2 linked regions of the Coturnix japonica genome follow. The protein of the gene in region 2 binds, or shares a complex with, the protein of the main gene of each other region. Links are inferred from orthologs where the notes say so. Each region holds a gene or a part of one and is shown on either strand. Other genes may lie near its edges.

Region 1 (8,359 bases), on a different chromosome or scaffold from region 2:
TCAGGTCTCCTTTCTTTGCCCGTTTTAAGTTTGCCTCCTGCAAAGAAAGGCAAAGAAAACTGAAAAGGCTGAAACAGCAAACAATAAAAATAGAGAGCAAGAAGCCCGATTAGCTCACAAGGGAAATAAAAAGTGAATTTCCCAACGCTATGCTCAGCAAACAAGCATTGTAAATAGTCAGAAGAGCACCCCCTCCATAGCACACACCATGTGGTCCAGCTGCTCCACCACGCACTCAATGATCTCCGGTTTGCTCTCCAGCAGCTCGGGGGCAAACTTCTCGTTCATCCAGGCCTAGGAGGAAGCACGATGTGATAAAGGCCCACACAGTTCCTACCGACCACCGGGACCCCGTCCCCACATCGCCCCTTCCCGCCCAGCGGGCCCACAGGCCTGACCGTCATCCTCCCCGCTCCTTCCTCGGACAGCTCCAGCTGCCGATGGTCTAAAAGTCCCCTCGGGGCTCATCCCTGTCCCGCTCTACCTGCTCCAGGCTGCGGATGAGCTGCAGTGGGGTAAGAACCAGCTCCTCGCTGCCATCGTCCGAGTCCGGCTCCTCACCGCCCGCCGCCGCCATTACAACAAGCCGCCGCTCCACTGCGCAGGCGCACAGCGCGACCCGGATGTTCTGCACTAGCGCAGGCGCAAGCCATGACAAAATGGCGGCCGTAGGGGGTGCAGCAGTGCGGCCCTGCTAGGCCTTGTGGATGTGCTTTTAGCATCAAAACACCTCAAAACAGCGCGACTGAACAGGCCACAGACACGGTTTAAGAAAAAATTTACTGATCCATTAGTACTTCTGCCAGTATCGCAACAAACATGAAAGGCAACCACAGCTTAGAAAACAAGTTTTATACAGTTAGAATATTAAATTAAAACAAAAAACCCCACAAAACAGAAGTTACTGGCTGAGGAACAAGGCTGGAATTTCAGACGCAGTAGCACCTACAGCACCACCAAAAGCCAAAACACTCCATCTCTCCTATATTATTCCTAAGCTCTTGAATTCCTTCTATAATTGGATCATGGCTCAATTCTGAACATATTTTTCCTTGAGAAGAGCAAAGAGAAAAGAATGAACCCAAACCTGGTTCCTAGGAACGTGCTTTAGGTATTGCTGAGGAATGTCAATGCAAAAAGAGAGGAAATAACACACAGCTCAATAGTGCGCCAGCAGGCAAAGAGTGATGAGACCATCCCACACAACAGCTCTGTCGAATCAGTGTTTTCCTATAAGTTATAATAAATTCATAAAGAAACAGTTTTACACTTCACGTATTAATCAGAGAAGGGGAAGAGTTATGTTTATTGGTTCAGCATCCATTTTATTGTACTTCCTGTTTTATAGACTCTCCCTCTTCTGCTCAGCACTGACATACAACAGCACATACACAGCAGTAGAAAAAACACCAGGAATAAAGTCCCTCTCTTCTAGGAATAACCAAAACATTAAAACGAGAAACATTTTTTGCCTTCTAGTTTTTCCATAAGAATCAGTACAGGACGCTTCCAACGCTCATTGCCTTGAGTCATTTTGCACTGGGAAGAGGCACTGCGTATCCCCTCACTGCAATACTGACCTCGAGGGAAAGCCTTTCTTCTGGAAAATTCCACTCTGACTTGTAGGTTTCCAAAGCCCAATCAGAAAGATTTAAGAAGTGGGGAGGAACGGCACCACATTTACATGACTAGAGCCAACTTCTGTTGGGTTAATGCGGTTCTGTCAGAAGAATATGCAGCTTCACCACTTCTGCGTTTCCTTTAGGAACTTAAAAGTGATCTCAAGGCTCAATAATTCGCCACAAAATGAATGCTGACCAGCTGGGTCACACCACGTGGAGTAGTTTTAGGAAGTCAGTCCCTGTAGAAAATGGCACTGTGGATCTGGCAGCAGAAAGAGGAATGATGCTCTAAAGTAGGAGGTAGGGGAACTGATACAGCAAGTCCACTGTTGAGCTGTCTGCTAGAAAAGAAGTTACATGTTAGAACTGATTGCCAGGCAAAATACAAGGTGATTCTTAACATGGGTTATGACCTTTTCATAGATGCTTTAAACACAAAAGCTTTTAGGTACCTCTAAAAACATTCAAGAAAAGCTGCATCTTTCACAGCATAATAGGAAGAACAGTAAAGCACCATCAATTAGGAAGTATTACTTCTCAGAAAGGGTAGAGACTTATGCCAGAAAAGCTTTGTGAAAAATCAAGACTCTTCAAATACAGAAAGCCATTCTGGGCTTGATACAGTGCAAGTTCAGTTTATGTATATTTTACCAAATTCCAATCTTGACTGTTTAAGTCAAATCTGTTATTGTTTGAACTGAGAGTAGCATGAAATTAACCACACATTCAGAAAACCTACACCACACAAGACTTAAGTAAAAAGTCATTGATGACATGCAGTAGCTGGATAAACATTCTGTTTCAGCAGAAGAGTCTACCACTCTGAGCACCATAAAGGAAGCTGAGATTGGCATCTACTGTAATGCTGATATGTACCTGAGACTCCACAGTTTTATCTTCCACTGCTCATGCCTCTGTCTTCATAAATGGTAATTTCAATCTGTGTAGAAAGGCTGTTAGGAAAATATACTATAAGAAGTTTACAAAAATGAAAGTGAAAAAATCATTATGATATTAGAACTTTTGATCTTTCTGCTTCATAGCTGCTTACTCAAGAGCTACAAAACAAACACAACAGCTCACCTGCCTTGTCAGATCAGATCGACCTATGGCAGCTCAGGATTGTTCTGACAACAAGAACACAAGATGCTGCATACAAAGAGCTTGTGAACCTTGCCATCTCCTCCTAAATCTCAGCAAAAGCTCCACAACAGGGCAGAAATAAACTTATCTGCTCAAAGAACAGCACATACCTGAGAGTAACAAGACTGATCATGTATTTCGCAGTATCACAGATCAAGCATGACTAGAGGATACCATATTATTAAAGAATTAAGAAATAATCTTAGAAACCACACAAGGATACAACTCTTAGTCCTCTTTCAATGGGATCGGTCAGAAGGAGGCCCTGAGGAGCATAGATCTTCTCGTTCTGTTCCTGAATGAACTTGGCAATTTTCTTTAGAACCTGATAATAGAACAGCAGGGAAGTCACAGTTTATTCACTAGGAGAGTGGTTAGGCCCTGGAACAGGCTGCCCAGGGAGGCTGTGGATGCCCCATCCTTGGAGGTGTTCATGACCAGGTTGGACAGGGCCCTGGGCAACCTGATCTAGTAAAGGCGTATGTTTGGTGGCCCTGCTAGGCAGGGGGGTTGGAACTACATGATCCTTGAGGTCCTTTCCAACCCAGGTCATTCTGTGATTCTGTGATTTATGAAACTAGATTTCTTAATTAAGTTTTCCCGTCTTAGAGCCATAGCTCAGCAATACCACCGATATAACAATATTAGGAGAACCCAGCATGAGAGCACCGATACCCACCAGAGACAGAAACTGTTCTGTACAGAAAATGTTACACTGCTCAGGTAACTCATATATCAGACGGACTTGTCTGTAGATGTTAAGTCACCCCGTAGTAAGATCCAGAGTCTATATGGAATTCATACAACTGAGGTACAAGTCACAGAAAACCCACCAGGAAATAAAGCATCTGAAGTCTGTAGGATATACCACTTTCTAAGAAAGAAGGAAAACAAAAGAAACCTACCTTTTCATAATGTGTTTCCATGCACAAGAAGATAGTATAGGCAGTCAGACAGGCCAGACACCCCTCAAGGTATGACTGGCCCCCAAGCTTCTCAGCTTCAGCATAAAGGTTATTCAGTGTCCGGACAGTCTCTTCAAACTGCTGCCTATCGATCTGAAAGAGAAATCAGGTTTAACCAGCACAGCTCAGAACTCAGCAGTACCTTCTAATAACAGCCCTTGCTTGTTTTTATTCCCACTTTGTCTTTTTTCCCCCCTCCCCATAGTAATATCACCTACTGCCATCTTCCACTTAGGTGTGCTCAAAGTGTGGAGGGTGCTGTGAGTTACAGGCCTGAAACTCTTTGTTGTGATGTTGTTATATCAAGCCTGAATTGTAATTGTATCATTGTTGTTATATCAAGCCTGAATTGCAACACAACCTGAACACAAAGCATTTAAAGGAACTGTAATTCCACCAACAAACAAAAGCAGCTTCCTTAACACACAACGGGCTGCTAGAGCATGAGAGACAAGCAGTAATTCCTTAGTGCTTCATGCAGCACTGTCCATGGGGGGGGTCTGTAAAGCAATACAATGGCGGGGGGGTAAATATAAAGCACGGGATCCGCTTTACCCGGTTCTCCAGCTCGGCCGGGAACTTGCTCTGGAACTGACAGCGGGTCCCCCCGCTGTAATCACGCTGGATGAACACTTTGCCCGACACGGGCGCTTGTTGCGGCCTCATGGCACCGCGGCCGCCTCGCTCCGCTCCTCCGGGCTCCGCCGCTCCGTTCACACCGCGCTAAACGCGTCCGGTCAGCTCCGGGCCAAGGAAAAGGCGGAAGCGATATTCCGCGCATGCGCCGTCGCCCCCATCAGGCCCAGAGAGAGAGACAGTGCGCATGCGCACGCGCCGGAGCGAAACAGAGCGTCAAGCTCACGCATGAGCACTCGCTACCCGTCCCACCAATCGCAGCTGACGCACAGCACTCGTGACCTCACGCACACCCCCTGACGTCCGTAGAGTGGTACAGCCCCGCTCCCCCCCGCTTGCAGATCACATGGCACAGTCCGGATACGCCCCCTCGCCGCGCCCCGCCTATCCGCGCATGCGCGCTGAGAGCGGTCTCTAGTCATATATATAGGGCGTATAAAACGCTGTGTGAATTGGAAGGGAGATTCAATGCGTTATCAATGGGAGGGGTGTTTGTAAGTACAGATGTAGGATGGGGATCCAGAGCCTGGGTTCAGACACATACAGTGACCCCTGGTTGGGTGCTGGGTGTCCATTGGGACACCGAGCACCCACTGCACAGCAGTGACTGCTGGATCTGGATGGATCCTGCCTTATAAGAGCAGAGCCTTGCTTTGCTAACAAAGCAGTTCTGCATTGGGATATCTCTTGGCTGGTGTAACTTCATCCCTCCATAGGGAGGTGTTATGTTATGAGTTTGGGTTGTAGCTGTTATGAGTTTGGTACAAGGGCTTGCAGCTGTTGGGTAGCAATGGGTGGATGAGGTTTGTGAGGCTGCAGGTTACCCCTATCCCACAGAATGTAACTAATTCCAAAGGGAGCAGAGTTCTGAACAAAGCAGGCAAAATGTGCATGTACTGAGGTCAATGGGAAGCTAAAGCTACGTTAATCAGGCCTTAATGCAAGGGCAGTTAATGGCTGAGGCATCGTGCTGGTGGTCAGGGTTATTCTCCAGCACCCCATGCCTCCAAAGCCCCAAGTGCTGGAGTGCTGCGTGGGCTCTGATCTGTAGGGTTCAATGCTTTGCTGAGATTGATGAAGCGTTTGTTGTCCCCTGCCGACCACGCCACAAATCAACACGGAGGAAACAAATACAAGAATGATTTATTGGGTTTAGTTTTAACAGGGCATAATAAGCAGCCGCCGTGTCACGCTCCAGACAAAACTAACAATGTTGTGATGATAAAAGACAGTAAACAGAGCTGTCAGTGTCCCCAGCACACAGCCCAGGGGTGGCAGCTAGGGAAGAGGCACCCCTCTAGCCCAAAGGAGGGCTCTTCTTTGTGCTAAGCAGTTTGCAAATGTGATAATGACACCTTTAAATTGCTCGGGGAGGAGATAAAAAGGAAACAGAGAAAAATACAAATAGAGATCTGACATTAGAGATCTAAATGTAATCTGAGTGCTGAGTGTCCCAGGAACCCGGCTATCAGCTGCTGTGATCTCTGTGCACCCCCCTCCTGTCCCCCCCCCCCCCTCCAATAGGAGCAGCCTGAACTAATTAACCCTCTAGCACTCCATAATGAAGACTAATAAACACCTAGTGGGTCTGCTTGAACAAACAACCCCTGTGCCTTGTGCAGGAAGCGCCCAGTCAGTTGGAGCAGCGTGGGGACAAAATGTGGCATGAGCTGAGCCCCCATTCCTGCAGCCCATTCCCCATTGCCTGCCTGAAAGTCCTCTCAGGAATGATCTGCTTCAAATGCTGCACCAGATGGAATGCGTTTCCTTAACCTTTAGCTGCTTGCAATGTGAAAGCAGTTAAGATTGTGATGTTAAAATTGTTTCAGATGTTTTATGTGCATATGAAATATTCTAGAAGGATGAATGCAAACTTTGATCCAGCTACGATTTTACTGGAGTTTATAGAAACAAAAAATATCTATTTTCAGGGTGTCTGGATCTTCAGGTACAGATACCCACTGTTGAGTTTTTGGAGTGAAAAAAGCTGGCAAATGCTGTAACCAGAGGGAACCTCCTGGGTTTGCTGACCTAACATGGAGGCTGAACCTGGAAATGGTAACCATGTAATCATAGAATTACTCAGGTTGGGAAAGACCTCAAAGATCATCAAGTCCAACCGCAGCCTAACCATAGTACCTTAACTCTAACAACCCTATGCTAAATCATATCTCTGAGCACCACATCCAAATGGCTCTTATACACATCCAGGGGTGGCAACTCAACCACCTCTCTGGGGAGCCTATTCCAGTGTTTAACTTCCCTTTCTGTAAAGAAGTGTTTCCTAACTTCCAACCTAAACTTACCTGGGTGCAACTTGAGGCCATTTCCCCTCGTCCTGTCAACAGTGAGAAGAGACCAGCCCCGCTCTCACTGTAAGCACTTTAAGTTACTGGAGGAGAGCAATCAGGTTTCCCTTCAGCCTCCTTTTCCACAGCCCCAGCTCCCTCAGCTTCTCCTCATAGGGCCAATTTTCCAAGCCCTTCACAAGCCTCATTGCCCTTCTCTGGACCTGCTCCAATACCTCCATGTCCTTTTTGTACTGAGGTGCCCAACACTGAATGTGTAATGTGCCTCTTTCTGAAAGATCCATTCACTGTTTCAGTGTTTTATGACACCAAGCGTAAGAAGTTCGTAATTTTAACAGCTTATTCCAATGCACCATCTCTAAATCAGAACAAGCGTGTTAAACTTATATAGCGAGCGTGCATGAAATACTAAAGAAAAGCAAAGCAATGTCTCATCTTGGGCAGAATGTTGTTCTTCCAGGCTTAAGCAAGACCTTGGTGTTTCTGAGAGGCACTGAAGGAGGAGCTGCAAACCAGCATGTGGCATCCCAGGCTGCCTTGTTCCCATGGGACACTGAACACACGTGGGCAGGAGGAGGTTCCTGTGCCTGGGGAGGGTAATTTGAAGCTGTGCTGGTGGGTACCACACTCAGTGTTACACAGAAAAGGCAAGAGCAAGGAACAGGATTGTGTTTGTTATTGGTAAATCAAACCATCTGTGATCCATGGACTGCAGACCTTTCCTAGGAGAAACACCAAATGTTGCTGCTGTTCCCCTTCCCTTGGTGCTGGGCTGCTGGGAGCATCCAAGGGGCTGCTGCATGCAGGGACCCCTCCATCCCATTGTGACAGAGCAGCACCTGGGTCGGTGGAGGGGACTGGGGGACTGTGGAACAAAGGAGCCTTTCAGGCCACCTAATGCAGTATGGATCCAAGAGGACCAAATGAATTTACATGGCTCAGATTGGGAGATATGCTCGCAAAGCCAATTTGTTTCATTTTATAGGCCTGAAAGATCCTACATCGGGGCTTCCTGTATGGTTTGAATTAAGTTTGGAGAGTGGTGTTTTGGAGAGCAATTCAGAGGGGTTTTCATGCAATGAAATGCCTGTCGTTGAGCAGGAGCCATGCAACACTTTGCAGTGCTTCCTGGCAAAATAATCCACGTCTGCTCCCAAAATGAAGATGATGAATACCTGAAAACTGAGCTATCTGTCTCATTATTTTGGAATCAAGTTTCACACACCTACTGATGGAGCAAGTGAGAAGTTTGAAGGATGTTGCATTAAAAATAAAGAGCTTTTTCCTGCCAGTTTGTGCTGCCAGTGACACATCTCCCCAGGGTGATGCTGCCAACTGGGTCTAAGGGTGAGACCGGACCCATAGGTTGGATGGGCGATGATGCTTGCTGCCCTCCGGCATCGTTAGCTGTTAATCAGGGCTGCTCTCCCGGAGGAGGCTCCTTTCAGGGCATTCAGAAAATGGGGTCAGACGTGTCTTCTGACCTGCGACCTGCCGCTTCCCCCCTCGCTGTAATTATCTAATACCGCGCTCTCCCTGCCAAGTACAATGAAACAATTTGTCACTTCGATTGTCTGTCAGTCAACACTGGGGCCTTTTCAACAGGCCAACACATGTTTTTTGAGAGCTTGTCAGCAAGGGCTGTCTGGCCAGGCACATAACCGTGGAAAATGGAACCTTTGTT
Region 2 (7,818 bases):
TGCTCCCTTTGCAGCAACAAATTCTGCAAACTCACCCTCTGCTGCAGGAAGGCTCAACAGATTTCCACGTGCTGCTGCTCAACTCTGGCACCTGTCCCCTGTGTGCAGCAAAGCACAGCCAGACCACACACCACAGCACGCTTTGGCCACAGTGACACATAGGGCCCATCCCCTCAACCAGCACTGTTAATTTTAGACACTACCAGCTCTGCAGTTACTCAAAACAGCACAACCCTTGGAGTAAGGAGCTCCAAGTTTGCAAAGGCAGAGCGAGCAACGGGAGGGCTGGGCTTACTGCCTCAATGCAGCCCGAGATAACTTTGAAAGGACAAAGTCTAGAGAGAGAGCTGCAAGTCAACTTGCAATTAAACAGCAACCTTGGGTCCTGTTTTGGGAAGAAATACATTCACTCTTGCACACGATCTGTCCCAAAGGGCTGCAGAGTGACCCTTGTCCAGCTGACAGGACAGCTTTTATAGCACAACAGGAGCACGTTATGGGCTTAGAGAAAGGATTCATGAACTGCACTAAGCCAAGCTGAAACAGCGCCAGAGCTCCCAGCCTCAGCCACACACCGACACCTTCACAAGTTTCTTCAGCACAGAGATTTACTACCTGCAAGCACGTGATGTGTGCTGGGTGTGCTCCAGGCACAGAATGAAGCTTTACAGCAGAGTTCCTGTGCACAAGCACCAGCATGGATAAGATCTGCTGCTTGCCGACCACCTCCTGGGCACCTCTGCAAGGAAAGCAGCAGTGTGGGGAGGCAGAGCCGAGCCTGCACCATGCTGCTAGCACAGCACGTGGCATGGGAATGGGAAGAAGGCTGCGATTTTAGGAGATGGAAGATGAGTGCACGACTGTCCTCTCCGCTGCAGCAAGGGAAACAGCACCATGCAGAGCTGGCTGGGTCCCGGCTCAGCAGGGACGAGGAGGCAGCCAGGTACTCACTGTGCTGGGATTCTTCAGTTCATGTTTTGCAGCGTGATTAAGCTTGGTAATTCATTTACACTGCTAAGTAACAGACATTTTAAAGATCTTTTGTTTGGGAAAGCAAAGCGCCAACAGAGACATACTGTTGGGATGTCAGGATATGGCTCCTCCTCTCAGAGCAGTATCTGTGTTCTGGAGCATTTTGTCATCTAATATCAGACAATAACAGCACTATTACAACATGCCATGGGAGGGGGGTGAGAAAGACTGAAACAAAGAGACCATTAGAAAGGGGAGGGAGGAGCAGCTAGAAGCAACAGATGGAGGTGCTGCAAGTTTAAGGCTTGCTATCCTGGTGACATTGAGGCTACCTGGGAAGCCGTGCTGCAGCCAGCACATCTAGCACAGCCTAGAGGGAGGGGAAAACCTGAGCAGTGTTTGCAGCACAGCACTTTGGGCTGGGGGTCATTCACCATGCTGCGGCACAGCTGGAGCTGCTGGGAGAAACCATCCCCATCAGTCAGCAGGGACAGCAAAACCACGTATTGGAGTAGAGTCACACTGAGAGCACACGCTGGGTGCTCCCAATCTACCCAAACCCACATCAGCAATTAGGCAGCACCAGGGTCTGCCTGGGGAATGCTGGTGGAGCAGAAGAGTAACCTGCAAAGTGCAAGAGAAAGGGCAGGTAATGCAGAAACACAGGGGCAGCTCCACACAGACACATGTCCTTACAAGCAGCATGAACCGAGCCCTGCGTGCCATCAAGTTCAGAGTACAGAGAGCATGACAACACTAACAAGCACCGATCGGCTCCTGTGCAGCTTTGGACAACACGTAACAAGAAGAGAGGGGAAAAAGCAGAGAGGAAAGCTATCTCAGCTGCACCTCCAAACAGCACAAAAACCTGAATCTCTGGGGTTTACGAAAAGAAGGCAAAGTCACAAGAAGGGTCAGCCCTGGCTCCTCAACTTATCAAAAAACAAAGACGTTTTAATCTCTACATAGCTAAGAATGTAGGAAAAAAACCATAAAGATAAACGAGCTCGGTTATCAGAAAAGCAAACAGCAGCCCCTTCCCACAGCCAGGAGCCTGGCATGGAGGGCACTATCTTGCTGTAACGTTTACAAACAGTGAGTGCTTGTGCTGGAAAGCTGAAAACAAAAGAAAAAGAGAAGTGGGTGCCTGTCACTGCAGGACAGCCCTTGCAAGGGCACCAGCAAACCGCAAAGAGAAACCTGCACAGTCAGAGGGAACATTCTATCCCTTCCTGTCCTTCCCAAAGCCGTTTCAGTAGGGCTTCACCCGTCCTTCCCATTGCATCCAACCCTGTGGGCACAGCTGGGCACCAAGCACTCGAGCACAGCAGCTTGCACACCCAATAATTGCCTCAAATAACACCAATTAAACACAATTTTATCTAACACATTATGGCTGTAGAGCAAACCCAGTGAAACAACAGGGATCGACCCCACGGGGACCAGCTCAGCCTGGGAGCAGTAGGAGCTGTGCTCTGCCCTTGGGCTTGGTGCCTGGTGCCTCTGCTCCATCAGGACAGAGGAGCCAATCTCCAGGTACAGCAGCCGGTTCCATCCTCTGGGCCTCCTCCTCTCCCCTCTAACAGCATTCCTATGTGCAGCTTTGAGGTCAAGAGAAGAAAAACATCGGACCACCCGCTCACTGGCTCTGCTGAAGCAGAGATGCGGCAGACTGGGTGGGGGGTGGAGGGGGTGGGAAGCCACCAGCAGCAGCCAAAGCAGAAAGGCTGTCATTTGGTGGCTGGGGAGGACTCCTTCTGCGAGCAGCTTATCTCGTGACGTGTGATGCCAGTCGGCAACAGATCCACACCACGGCGTTTGTAATCGGAGCCAGCGCGGCACGGCGGTGAGCACTGAGCTGCGGTGCTGGCTGGCTGCAGGCACCTCCAGCCTCACTCAGCCAAGGTGTGACTGCGCAAGTGATTCAGCTGAAAGGAACAAGCGCTCCAAAGAGGCACCCTGCAGTCAGCACACAAGGACTGAAAGGACTCCTCCACCCAGCAGGCTGCTTGTCTTTGCAATCGAACCCTACCGACCCCAACTGGTCCACTGTAGAACAAACTTGGGGGGGGGGGAATGGTGGATTTCTGTGCAAATGCCAAATCTGAATCTGAAAGGAATGAGTAACACACCCAGCGGAACAGATAGATGAAAGCCAAGGCCCTCTGGCTGGAGCACCCTAACGCACACAGACAACACAAAGGGTAACCAGGGCACCAGCAGCAGACTGTCAGCCTCCGCAGCAGGGTTAGCAAAACAGAAACACTGTGGAATGTTTCTGGTTTGGAAGACAACATTGCAGTCCTCTCCCACATACAAAAAGCCACCGACAATTTCATAACAAAAGCATCTCGCTCAAACAGAGCGCTTTAAGGCATCGTGCTTCGAGATCACCACATCAATCTTTTGGGTTTCTCCAGCCTCTCCCTCACCTGCACAACCCCACATCGTTCTGCTCCTGGCTGCACTGCTGTCACTACCAGCGCGTGCAGGGCTATGGACATAGGGCACTTCTACTTTATAAGCAGAAAGAGGCACAGACTAGGGACAGGCTCCGCAGGGAGCGGGAGCAATTACCACTGCCACTAAGTTCTTCAGGAGTATTAACACTTAGTAATTGTTCCTGCAAGGCAGGAAGTCTTAGCCCCATTTTTTGGATAGGGCATCATCAGGAAGCAGTGTCATTGTTCACCTATGACACTGAGTCAGGAATCATTTCAGGAGCCCAGCAGCTTGTGTTACAGCTGTTACAGTGATGCTCGCTGCAAAGCCATGCAGCAACTAAGCAGAAAAGCCAATCTGGTACCAAACTGGAGCCTGACAGCAGGCACTACCCGTTGGCTGGGACATGAGAGAGTCTCCTTGGGGTTCCAGAAAGCCCTTCTGAGGCCACATCCATAACACAGAGGGCAATGTCAGGCCAGAGGAAGCTGAGGCCATTTCTCTGGGCTGGGGCAACCTGGCACCTGGGCTATTGATTTGGGAGAACAACCAGAAGAACAAACAGGTTCCTCCATCCACCTTGCTGCCTTAAAGAGCTTTTGTGTTACACAACACCAGGACTTCACCGCTCTGAGACCAACAAAAACACGCTGACGGAGACTGAGGAAGGAAAGTTCTCTTGTTGTAGAAGCTGACGTCTCCTGATCAGGCCAAAAAGCTGTCCTGCCCCCTCACACAACAGCAGCACTCAGCCAAACGCATGCTACGGACTATTTTTTTGGGGGGATCAGCACACAGCTAGGCTGCCCCCACAAGAGATGGCCCTGGGAAGGGGAGAGGTCCCATCCGTTGGGCAGAGCCCACCCGTAAGGGCTGCAGGGCCTCACCACATGCTGCCAGTGGTTCTGGGGTGGTGGGATGGGTGCAGACCCCTCTCCCTCTGCTGTCAGACTGCATCGATGCCTCGCCGGGCCCCATCCCCTCCCTCTTTGCCAAGGCCACAGGCCATCGCGGTGATGGGAAGAAGGGCACAAAGCCCCATCGGGCCCCCCCCAGCACAGCAGCATGCTGCCAGCAGGTCCCCACCCAACTCTCCCCCCCCTCGTCCCCCCCCAGCACTCACTCGAAGGCGAAGAAGAGGGCACAGGTGCCAAGGATGAGGAAGAGCGTCAGGTAGAAGATGCCCTTCTGCCGGGCCATCATGATGCGGCCATCGCAGCAGAAGGTGTTCCTGCCCGGCAGCTTCTCCCATTTCCGTACCACCTTCTTCCTCGCCACCATCACCGACATGGCGGGGCCGTCAACGGGGCCGCCGCTCGGCCGGGCGCTGCCGCTCCGCCGCCCCCGGCATCGTCGGGCCCGACTGGGCCGGGCTGTGCTGGGTCGGGAGCTGCGAGGAGAGGAGAGGAGAGGAGAGGAGAGGAGAGGAGAGGGCGGCTCAGCACGGGAGGGGGGGGGTCGTCACGCCAACATCACCCCCCCATCCCCCTCCTTTCTCAGGGGTGTCGCTATGGCAACCCGCGGTTGGGTGTGTGCTGGGGAAAGCCCCGGGCACAACGAGCGCGGCCCCGGCCCGCGGGAAACGGGACGGGACGGAAGGGACGAGGGAAGGGAGAGGAGGAGGAGGAGGAGCGGACGCGGCCCCGCTCACCCCGGGCGGTGCCGGCAGCCCCAGACCGGGCCGACGGCAGCTCAGCGCCGCGGGAGGGGCCGCCACGCCCCGCGACGCCGCTGTGGGAGCGGCCGGGCCCGCCATTGGTCCAGGGCCGCTCGGCGCCCCGCCTCCCCGCTGCTCTTCTCGCTCTCCCATTGGTCGGGCGCGGTGTCCATCTCCGGCTGTTACCGACGCTCCGGTGCGAACAAGGGGGGGCGGGGCTGGGGGCCGGGCCCGGCACGTGGCGGGGGCGGGGCCGGGCGATGCCGGGGACCCCGGAGGGCGGGTAGGAGACGAAGAGGAACGGGACGGAAAGGGAAAGGGCGAACCTGTCTCGTAGCGTCACGTCGAGCCGCTGCAGCCAGCAGTTCGCCAGCAGTTCGCCCGCCACACCCGCAGCGCGGCCCCGTGGGCCTAACGCCGCCGTTCGGCCGCGGCTCCGCCCGCTGCCATGGCAGCCGTGACGTCACGGAGCGGGCGGAAGTGCGGCTCCTCGTGCGGGGCGGAAGCGGCGCGCTTTACGGCACTTTGCGACGCCATGGCGGAGGAGTGGCTGGGCGCCGAGGCGGCGGGGAGCGGCAGCGAGGAGGAGGAGGAGGAGGTGAGCGGGATCCGCGGGGCGGGGCGGGGCTGCGCTCACCGGCATCGGGCGCTCCGCTGATCCGCGGGGTCTGGTGGGAGCAGCGAGTGGGGCCGGGGCCGGGCCTCACCCGCTCAGGCGGTGACCCCGGTGACCGTGTGCTTGGTGCGGCAGCAGCAGGAGGATGGAGAGCGGCGGCACCAGCAGCTCCTGGAGGCGGTCAGTGCCCTCACCGGGAGGAAGCGGTGAGTGCGGGGCTTCGAGTTCCTGCTGCTGCGGCAGCACGTGGCGGGGCGCTGCGCTCCCAGCGGTGACTCAACGTGTCGTATTTATCGTCCCGGCAGGAGGAAGCTGGCCGAGCGCTCCGAGCCCAGTGCGCAGGTGTCCGAGTTCAACGTTAGCTGTAAAGGTGGGGGCCCTCCCTGCTTCCCCTATGGAGGAGGATGCTCTCCATCTGCTGGGGAGAACACTGATACGCTGTGGTGGGCTTTGGGGTGAAGGTGCCTCTCCATGGTGCTGCCCCACTCGGTGGCACCGTGGTGGTGCTGATGCACGAGGTCTCTTGTAGGTGCCGGGGAGAAACTTGTCCTGTCCGAGCTCCTGCAGCCCATCCATGGCCGCTCTGCCCTGAGTGGTGTGAAGAAGGAGTTCAGCAGAGTGAAGCAGAAGAAAGCAGTGGAGCTGCCGCTCAGCAAGGAGGAGGCAGAGCGGGTATGCAGGGCTGCAGGCAAACAGCACAGTGAAGGCATCCCAGCCTTAAGGGACGCTCTTTTAGCCCCTCTGTGCTATCTGCATCTCTCTTATTGTCTGACGTGTCTTGTTCCACAGATCAGCTTCTCTGCTCACTTTTTTTTCTTTCTTGCTCTCATCTGCAGGTAGTGAGGGAGGCTGCCTATGTCAAGAGCTCTAAAGATGTTGGCAAGTGGCAGCCAGTTGTACTGCAGAACCGCCGAGCAAAGCAGCTGGTTTTCCCTCTGAAGGAGGAGATTGTGGCAGTTGCCCCCCTGGAGCAAGTGGTTTCAGCATGGAAGGTGGGTGCTGCCACATGCCCATCATTGCCATCTCTTGGGCACAGTTTTCCCCCCTGCCTTTATTTAGCACTCAGCACATCAGCTAAGCCTGTTGTTTCCTAGTCCCTCTCCTGACCTAGGTGCCTGCTCATAGCACTCAGCCGTTTCTCTTTGAGATGAAGGGTTTGGTTCACAAAAGGCTGTGTACCTATAAATTTTGGCTATTTTTCTAGTGTTGAACACAAGTTCCCTTGAAGTTTGCATTGCTTCTCAGGAGAGTTACTCATCCCTGGAGAGCTTTCCCAGGTCAGGGCAGTCTTTATCAAGCTCCCAGCTCAACAAGCACCCTTCTGTCTGTGCAAGGATTTCTCCTTGTCCCCCGTTGGGCCTGGGACTTTGGCTTGTTTGTGCCCTCCTATGGGGGTGCTCTGGCATCAGGAAGGATGGGAAGGTGTGTGTGGGTGTCTCTTCCTGCAGTCATTTGTGTCTCGTCTAGTCTCACTGCCTATTCTGTCCCACCAACAGCCTCGAACTCCCCTGGAGCAGGAGATCTTTGGTCTGCTCCACAAAACACAGCAGCCCATCACAGACCCGCTCCTGACACCACAGGAGAAAGCCTCACTGCAGGCAATGAGCTTGGAGGAGGTGAGTGTTTCTTTCTTCTGCTGCACTGTGGTTATGAAGGCTTCTTCCTTCATGCTTTCCCTTGCGCTGTGTTTGCTGGCAGGCCAAGCGGCGGCGAGCAGAGCTTCAGAAGGCTCGAGTCCTGCAGTCCTACTATGAAGCCAAGGCTCGTCGAGAGAAAAAGATCAAGAGCAAGAAGTAAGGCTATAGCATTGCTGGGCTCGGTGATCTGGGGCCCAATGCTTGAGAGAGAGTGGTTAAAGGGTGGAGGGAAGCAGAGAGTCACAAGTTGAAATGTTGCCGGGAAGCTGTGCTTCTTCATGCACAGAACAGTGCTCCCTTGCCAAAGCAGAGGCTGGGTGCCTGTGCCAGGTCTCACTCCTCAACTGTCTGCTCTTGTGCTGCAGGTACCATCGTGTGCTGAAGAAAAGCAAGAGACGCAAGGCCTTAAAGGATTTTGAGATGCTGCAGAAGTCAGACCCTGAGGCTGCCTTGGCAAAGCTAGAAGAGCTGGATCAGCTCAGGATGGAGGTGCT

Evidence for each region.
Region 1: the proteins of ZDHHC9 (region 2) and GOLGA7 are in contact, whole or in part, in a cryo-EM structure (PDB 8HF3), measured with the Homo sapiens proteins. The link is inferred for Coturnix japonica from reciprocal best matches to the Homo sapiens genes ZDHHC9 and GOLGA7. Residues at the interface, in NP_001008223.1 of Homo sapiens: Phe78, Ala81, Arg85, Ile94, Pro95, Leu98, Asp100, Glu101, Phe104, Ile105, Phe129, Gln130, Ile131, Asn132, Ile146, Pro149, Pro150, Arg182, Tyr183, Leu186, Tyr274, Lys281, Cys284, Glu285, Leu287, Cys288, Gly289, Pro290, Leu291, Pro292; in NP_001002296.1 of Homo sapiens: Lys11, Phe13, Gln15, Tyr18, Ser19, Ser20, Gly21, Thr22, Ala57, Glu58, Leu60, Ser64, Tyr65, Gly68, Cys72, Ala75, Tyr76, Thr77, Phe79, Leu80, Tyr86, Glu87, Leu90, Ile116, Arg118, Gly119, Arg121, Val122.

What each region holds. Positions count from the first base shown.
Region 1 is NC_029537.1:3,951,165-3,959,523, reverse strand, and holds GOLGA7 (golgin subfamily A member 7), read right to left. Parts: upstream 4,586-8,359; 5' UTR 4,397-4,585; coding exon 4,286-4,396; intron 3,824-4,285; coding exon 3,671-3,823; intron 3,091-3,670; coding exon 2,989-3,090; intron 2,563-2,988; coding exon 2,515-2,562; 3' UTR 2,499-2,514; intron 1,964-2,498; exon of another isoform or gene 1,961-1,963; 3' UTR 762-1,960; downstream 1-761. Other genes in the region: GINS4 (DNA replication complex GINS protein SLD5), read right to left, coding at 1-37, 208-294, 485-577. UniProt on the Homo sapiens protein: May be involved in protein transport from Golgi to cell surface. The ZDHHC9-GOLGA7 complex is a palmitoyltransferase specific for HRAS and NRAS.
Region 2 is NC_029519.1:1,576,097-1,583,914, reverse strand, and holds the start of ZDHHC9 (palmitoyltransferase ZDHHC9), read right to left. Parts: upstream 5,507-7,818; 5' UTR 5,398-5,506; intron 5,153-5,397; exon of another isoform or gene 5,066-5,152; intron 4,805-5,065; 5' UTR 4,705-4,804; coding exon 4,538-4,704; intron 1-4,537. Other genes in the region: UTP14A (U3 small nucleolar RNA-associated protein 14 homolog A), read left to right, coding at 5,520-5,669, 5,823-5,893, 5,993-6,057, 6,217-6,359, 6,524-6,679, 7,184-7,303, 7,386-7,480, 7,690-7,813. UniProt on the Homo sapiens protein: Palmitoyltransferase that catalyzes the addition of palmitate onto various protein substrates, such as ADRB2, GSDMD, HRAS, NRAS and CGAS. The ZDHHC9-GOLGA7 complex is a palmitoyltransferase specific for HRAS and NRAS.